2 linked regions of the Ovis aries genome follow. The protein of the gene in region 2 interacts with the protein of the main gene of each other region in a pairwise test. Links are inferred from orthologs where the notes say so. Each region holds a gene or a part of one and is shown on either strand. Other genes may lie near its edges.

Region 1 (4,088 bases), on a different chromosome or scaffold from region 2:
ATAATATCCAAAAGTGTAAACTGACCTAAATAGTGATTTTTAAAATATATTTAACAGGATAGCTTATAATTCTGAACATGTATTTGTTTTACACTTTAAAAGCATTTTTATTTAAATTTCTTGAATGAAATAAAAGTTCATCATTTAAAGTAGAAGGTAAGAAAAAAATGCAACAAAGAATACACTTCCAATCTCTGACTCTATGTTTTTGCAACAAATCTGATTGCCATAAAATCTGATGACCGTGGAATAACAAATGACTTAGGAGAGGCAGAAAATAGAAATTTTTTTAAAAAACAAATTTTTAATTTATGGAGAAAGGCAGATCCACAGTCTGAACTCTGGGAATAAAAGGCATTCCTTTCTGGGCATATAGACAAATCCTGAATGGCAAAATTTTGAGATATAGTCCTGCCAGAATTGTATTTACTAGGATTGCACATTCTTTTACTTAAATATGAAGTCAAATGTTTTGCTTTGTCAATAAAGAAAAGCCAGGCTTAAATTACTTAAAACTGGGCGTCTAAGAACACAACTGTTCATTACAGATACCTGAACTCCAAGGATCAGAAAAGCTCATCTATACATTCTGCTGGAGGAAATCTAATATTTATTTGGTCAGTAAAGGGTAAATAACATATGAAACGAGAAAAAGGGAAAGTTTCTTCACTGATAAAAACATATCCATCAGCTGTTCAAACATTAATAGTTGCAAATTTGGAATACATGTAAGTTTCATCATGCAACTGGTAGAATTCCAACTTTCAATTAACAAACTACATGGCTTTTCAAGGGTAAGCTCTGCGTGCACTGACAAACACTGTGCAGAAATCAATACCCACTTCCAACTTGCCTACATACAACGTCTTCCATCAAGCACGCTTCCAATACTAACCAGCACTACCTGTCAGAGACGCTTGCACTAATGCTTACTCCAGAAAGAATTAAAATTAAGCTATCGGTTCACTCATTGCACAGAGCTGTAGTCCTCTGCAAACATCACCTGTATACATAACTTTCCGTGTACTCGCTGCATTTCGTAATCCTGAGTACATATCACATGCTGCCATCTGAATCTGTTGTCCAACTCCTTTTATAGTTCTAAAAGGGGGCGGGAGAGGGGAAAGAGGACGCAAGGGAAATAAACATTACTCCGGAAACCAACAATCTGAGTTTATTTCCAGGAAACCAGGCAGCCACAACAACGAGAGAAACCGACAGTGCAAAGTTCGTCCGTTCTCCGCGTCCCACGGCCTCAGCCAGGAACGCGGCTGCCGCTTCCCGCGTCTTCTGCAGCTCTCCTCGGCCACCTCTGCGTCTCCATCTGCACTGAGAACCAAGGCAGCAGACGCGCTCGCCAGCCAAGCTGAGCAGGGCGGACTGGCCAGAAAAGTTGTCTGGACCGGCGGGAGGCAGACGATTGCCCGCGAGCCTGCTCCCCAGCGTCCACCTGGTGAAACTTCAGAGCCCCCAGAGGAGAGAACGAAAGAAACCACCGACAGGAAGGATGACAAAACTGGCAGGGAACGGAGGACGAGACTGGGCGAAACGCGGTTTTACTGACATGTCGAAGTGGTTTTACTAGAACCCAAAAGGGCTAACTGGCGAGACCTCACTGCATGCCTCCTTTGGGGTCCTCTTGGCGGCGGGCGGCAGTCGTTCACAGCCCCCAGCAGGCAGGCCGGCTCCGGGAGGAGCTGCGCCAGCTTCGCGGTGGCTCTGCCGGAGGAACGGGCTCCCAACCCCCGCGGGTCAGGCTTCCCCGACCCGGCGCCCAAACCTCGCTGCCCAGAACCGCTCGGTGTGGATCCTCAGAATCGTGTTTCAAAACATCCTACAGGCTCTGCCAACACACACAAGGAACCTGCTCCTCGCGGTGCCCTAACCCACGGGGCGAGCCCAACGAGCAGCCCCGCGCTAGAGAACGAGAAAAGGACTGGGGGAGGGACGGGGAAGTAGTTAGACAATAGTCAGGGGAGGTTATTCCCGGGACAAAAAGCACCTGGCAAAGCGCGCCGAGGTCGGTCTCTTCGAGTCTCCACCTTTCTGACAATGGCTTCCCGAAGGGGGGAAAAAAAATTTTTTTTTAATGTTCTAACGGCGGAGAGCTACAAACCCGCACCACGAGCAACAGAGTAGCCGTCCCCAGAGTCGTTCACTACTTTTTCTTTCTCTCTTCCCCGGCGCGGTGCAGTCAGCGCGACACGCCGAGGCTCCGCGTTTCCCAAGAAAAGCACTGCCGCTCGCACTCCCGCACCGCCCGGCCAGCCTGCGTCCCGGGCGAGCCTCCGCTGGGAACAATGGGGCGCAACGAGGAAAGTTACCTGCGCCACGGAGCCCATTCGGGCGCCCCGCGTCCCACCTGGCACAAAGTCGGGGGACCTCTCTCCCTCTGCCCGTTCCCCCCGCCCCGCAAACCTCTGCCTACGGTCCTGGAGAGGAGCCCGATCCCTCCCTGGGCAAGCCCCAGGTCGGGGGCACTTTTCGGGGCTCCAGACGCCCCTTCGGCCACTCACCTGCGGAGAACTGGCCTTGGGCCGACCCCAGGAGCGGCCACGGGGAAAGAAGCAAGAGCGCCACAAAAGCGGGCAGCGCCGCCGCCGCCGTATCCATGTCGACTTTGGGAGAAGTTTCAAGCGGCTCTGCAAAGAGCTGCCCGGAGGCTTGCAGCGAAACCCACCGCTGAGGGGCCGGCCGGGCCTGGCGGGGTGAGCGCCGGGAGTGGACAGCCGCGCGCCCGCACTTTTTCCTGCTCGGCGGGAGCCAAACTACCTCTGGGGCGCCAGCGTCGCCCGCGTCGCCGGCCGGCCGCGGCGGCTGCTCTCCATGCTCGGCAGAGGCTGCTCCTGTTAGTCAAGAGTTACTTTGCTCGGGGAGGGATGGGGGCGGAGCCGGGGGTGACGTCGCCCCGCGGGCTCCGGGCGCTTCTGAGGAATGCAGGCTCGGGCGCGGCGCCGCCGCCGCCTCCTGCCGGAGAGACACGCGCCAACCCCGGCCGCGCGCCCCGCGCCCCGCGCTCCGCGCCGCCTTTGTTCGCCGCCCGAGCCCGGCCGTCCGCCGCCGCTCGCGAGTAGCTGGCGGGAAAGAGGACCCGCGCCGCTGGCTGCCCTGTTACAGAAATTGCAGTTTGAGAAGCGGGAGTTGAGTGAGCAGTGTGGCCGAGCCCCATGGGGCGAGCTCAGAGACACCTCTTCGCCCACGCAGAGGCGTCTCGGGGTTCTGTCCGCAAGACAGAGGTCCCAGCGGAGCGGTGGCCGGCAAGAAGGACGAGTGTAGAAGCGCCCAGAGGAAACACCCACCTGCATCGCAAACCCTGTTCCTTATTGATGTCATAAGGAATAAGCACCCCACCCCCGTAGAAAACTTATTGTTCCTTCCTCATATAAAAATAAAACTTGAACCAAAATAAACGTTCAGTAACTTTCCAGTGTGAACAGCTGGCATGTCTTTTTTTCTGGTTTATCATTTGCCGAATATTTGGATTTACTCTCTGTTTCACTGACTTTGCTTGTACTTCTGAAACCTTCGGCCTCTTTCCACTTCTTCCCCCTGGAAGAACCTAAGAACTGCAAGGCTTATTATCCTTGCCTTTCACAGGGTCTGCTGGAGTGGGAAATGGTTTCTGTTTTGTTTTTAATATCTAAGAACTATTTAAGACGTTAATTATTTCACGAAAGAACTTAATGCGGACAATGAAAACAGCAACGAATGATTTCGTACGCAGGAAAATAATGCTACATTGTGACAGAAAAGTATTTTACAGTTTGCTGCTTCTTCAGAAGCTTGAAGCGGTTTCACCATATGCCACACTTACTTGCTTCCGTGAAAAGACTGTATAGAGTATGCTTTATTCATTTTTGTAAAATAGCAAATAAAATAGATGTGGTCACAACTGAAGAAACAAGTTTTATTCAGAATTTTGATGTCATATGCAATTCCTAGAACAATGGAATCTGTTGATTGACATCTGTCAGTTACTCAGACATCTTAGGTTTTGTAAATCAAGACAGTGTGACGTTCAATTTAATATAACATTCACACAATTTGCCAGGACACATATTCCTTTATTCAGATTAAGTATATGCAAT
Region 2 (3,653 bases):
GATAGAAACAAATGTCAGTAAGGTGGTTGGTTACCAGTGGGCCTTCTGCGATGTTGCAGACAACGTGGGCAGCTCTGACTGTACCTTGGATCATTCAGGAACCCCTGCTGGGCAGCTCTGACTGTACCTCGATCATTCAGGAACCCCTGCTGCAGGCCCTGGGTTCAGTGTTTGGGCAGAGAGTGGGGTGGCATGTGAACAGGGCGCAAAGTTCAGGTGGAAGAACTGAGCTCTCTGACCGCGGGCATCACTGTAGCAGGCAGGGTGGAGGACCCCTCGCGGTCCCCAAACCCTGGTGTGGAGGGACCATGTCTGGACAGGGAAGGTAAGATGAAGAAGGTGCTCCTCCCAGGGTGGTTCTGCTCTCAACCTTCCCCGTGGATTTCTGGCAGTGTCTAGAAACAGTTTTGTTTGTGACAATGGGGGTCGGGTCGGGGCACTGGCCGACAGGTCCTTACAGGCTAGCGGCTGCATTTCTGTGACCTGTGACAAGTCCTTTAGAGAAAAGGAGGGGCCTCACCTAGAGCCAGGCTGGAGCCTAGGGGTGGGAGGTGCCATTTCCATAGTGCAGGCTCGGCAGACCCTGCAAACCCTGCAAACCCTGCAGAGGCCAGTCAGATCTGGCTTTGGTGAATCCTGCTGGAACTGGTTTGGGTTCTCTAAGCCCTGTCCTGGTCCTTGTCTGGGTGAGCCCTCGGGTTTTGTAACTACGCATCTCCACGAGTAGCTTGGAGAGAGACCCTTTGCCCAAACACTGGAACTCCCCACTTCATCCAACCCACAGACCAGATAGATGATTGACCAGTGAAAGGTCACCAAAGGATTTGTTTAAGTAGTGGCCCCTTGGGCCACTTGAAATGAAATTTGATTTACCAAGTAAGGACTTCCCACGGGTGGTGTGTTGAGCCATCCTGCTCTGTAAGTGGCCAGTGGAACTCCTGCCCCTTCTCCAGGCATCACACGGCACATTATGTTTAAAAGAAGAAAAAAATAAAAGCAAACACACAGAGCCTGCCTCTCAGCCAGATAGCATATGTAATAAATTATTTGCGTGTCCTTAATCCTTAAACATCGCCAGGGGCCTTCCTTGCCTTTTCCTGGGCTCAGGAACATGAAGTCATTGCCAGGGTCACAGCTAATGGGTCCAACGGAGAACCTGGTTCAAGCCTGAGGCAGCGGATCCAAGCTTTGGTCCACTGCAGTGGCAGACGGCCTCTCCACCTGGGTTGCATCACCCTGGTGGCAGTTCCAGGCGCCTAGCCTGGAGCGCAGCCTGGCTCTGCTGTGGAAAGTTGGTGCGATGGGGGAGTGAGTCGGGAAGCTGTGGATGTGCAGGCCGTGTACCAGATGGGAGGGCTGGCGCGGCCTTGTTCTCAGCTCCACGTGGATGCAGGTAGCTGTAGCTCCTGGGCCTGGCAGCGTGTCTGCAGCTCCTGGAAGGGGCTGCCCAGGGCGGAAGCTCACTCCCTCCTCCGCCTCTCACCCTTTCCTCTAGTTCCCTGACATTGTGGAGTTCTGCGAGAACATGGCCAACTCAGGGAAGACCGTCATCGTGGCTGCACTGGATGGGACCTTTCAGAGGAAGGTGAAGTGTCTGGTCCAGGTCTTGGGGTGGGACCGGGGACAGAGGCCCAGGCAGCGCACAGAAATGGACAGCCCAGGGCGCCCTTGATGCCCACACCATGCCTAAGCCCAGGCACTCAGGCCAGCCAGTCCCAGCTCCCTGGGGTGCCCCTGACTCCACCTGCCTAGGGCAGGTGCTCTGGGGAAAGGCAAGGTCCAGGCTTAGTTTCCTGGCTTCAGGGGTGTGAGTCAGGGTCTCCAGGAAAAGCCCACCCGGCGAAATGAGTGTGCACTCCTCTTTCTGTGGATTGTACAGGCTTTTGGGACCATCCTGAACCTGGTGCCCCTGGCAGAGAGCGTGGTCAAGCTGACGGCGGTGTGCATGGAGTGCTTCCGAGAGGCCGCCTACACCAAGAGGCTGGGCGTGGAAAAGGAGGTAGCTGCCCCCTGCCTTCTCCAAGGGATGGGCGGGTGGGGGGCAGGGAGGGGCGCCTACACCTAGAGGCTGGGTATGGAGAAGGAAGTAGCCGCCCCCTGCCTTCTCCCAGAGGCGAGGGGTGGGGCGCTGCGCCCCAGCCCCGCTCAGTCCAGGCGCTTCCTGTCGCACCGCACGTCAGGTCGAGGTCATTGGAGGAGCAGACAAGTACCACTCTGTGTGCCGCCTGTGCTACTTCAAGAAGCCCTCGGGTCAGCCCGCCGTGCTGGACAGCGAAGAAAATAAGGAGAACTGCCCGATGACACTGGGAAAGCCCGCGGAGGCCGCGGGAGTCCGGAAGCTGTTTGCCACTCATCAGATCCGGCAGTGCAGCCAGGCCAACTGAGGCACTGGCCCCTCGCTGGGGCGGGCGCTCACCCGCCACCTGCTCCCCCCACTCGCCCGCTGTCGCCCCCTGGCGGATGCCGGGCCTTCTTGGAGGAGGAAGTGGCGGGGGGCGGGGTTGGGGCGGGTAGAGGTTTCACCACCAGCAGTTGGCCTGCTGCTGCGCCCTTTCCCAGGCCAAGGAGGCGGCTGGTGGTCTGCACTGCACACTTCCCTCCTTGCCTGCCCACCAGCTTTTCTCAGTTCCCATCCCGGCTGCGGGGCGGCTGCGGGGCGATCGCAGTCTCCCCAAGCCGGAGCTGGCCGCCCTATGGGGCGGGGTCTGGCCGCTGCAGCCATCCCTCTTGGGGTGAGGCCAAGCCGCAAGCTGCTGTGACATCGGCGTCGCCGGCTTCTTCCCCGTTTGTGGCGTTTGCTGTTGAGTTTCTGTTCTCACTGGGAAGTCCATATCCCAGCACCTCTGGCTCAGCGTGGGCCTCTTCCCACGCAAAGACTTGGTCCCTCTGCCTGGGATGGGCTCCTGGCTGCCCCTGGGGATGGCTGGACTTCTTATTTCCTTTGGGGCTGAAAGCCCTTCCTGATCTGGCGATCATTTTCTCCGGAATTACAGCTTCTCCCATGTGGGTGACACTCACCCTGCTCTGGGGCTCAGCTCCCAGGGGCTTGTTTTCTAAGGAGGTGGGGGCTGTGTGTATGTGGAACTGATAACTAATATTAAAATCTATTGGTTGGTAAAAGCCTATTTCTCTTTTAACTGTCTGGGATTCCCCGGGTCTCACTATAGACACCTCTGACATGATTCAGGTATGGGGATTTCCTTTCAAATCTTTTTCTAGTACTCCTGACCCCTTAACCACAAATCTTTTTAACTGAGATATGAGCATCAAGTGTTCTAACAGGCATGTTTGCCTGCTCTTCTGCCTGGGAGGGTTTCAGGTCAAGATGAGTGGATGCAGGAGCCTGGGGCTTGGTTGGAAAGATGAAGCCTTGGTCTGTGCTGCCAGCTGGGGCTGTGAGGTCAGGTTTTATTTTGTGAAACAGACACTTGACAGTTCAGGAGCCAGGAAGACCAGCTCTGCCGTGCCTTGGGAAACGGGCTGTGGACAGCTTATGGGAAGGTGAGGGTGCTCCAGGGTGGGGTGGGCCTGGGCTGTGTGTTCCAGATGGGGCCCCAGTTCCCCACCCTTACCCCAGCTTCTCCCTCTCACTGGCTTGTGGCAGGTTACAGAGGTGCAGTACCACGGTCAGACCATAATCCCCAAACCCTATT

What was found.
Region 1: the proteins of TK1 (region 2) and PTPRK interact in a two-hybrid assay, tested with the Homo sapiens proteins (2 studies listed by BioGRID and IntAct). The link is inferred for Ovis aries from reciprocal best matches to the Homo sapiens genes TK1 and PTPRK.

Annotation. Positions count from the first base shown.
Region 1 is NC_056061.1:54,095,492-54,099,579, forward strand, and holds the start of PTPRK (receptor-type tyrosine-protein phosphatase kappa), read right to left. Parts: upstream 2,856-4,088; 5' UTR 2,614-2,855; coding exon 2,517-2,613; intron 1-2,516. UniProt on the Homo sapiens protein: Regulation of processes involving cell contact and adhesion such as growth control, tumor invasion, and metastasis. Negative regulator of EGFR signaling pathway. Forms complexes with beta-catenin and gamma-catenin/plakoglobin.
Region 2 is NC_056064.1:53,319,768-53,323,420, forward strand, and holds the end of TK1 (thymidine kinase, cytosolic), read left to right. Parts: intron 1-1,495; coding exon 1,496-1,585; intron 1,586-1,879; coding exon 1,880-1,999; intron 2,000-2,180; coding exon 2,181-2,384; 3' UTR 2,385-3,120; downstream 3,121-3,653. UniProt on the Homo sapiens protein: Cell-cycle-regulated enzyme of importance in nucleotide metabolism. Catalyzes the first enzymatic step in the salvage pathway converting thymidine into thymidine monophosphate.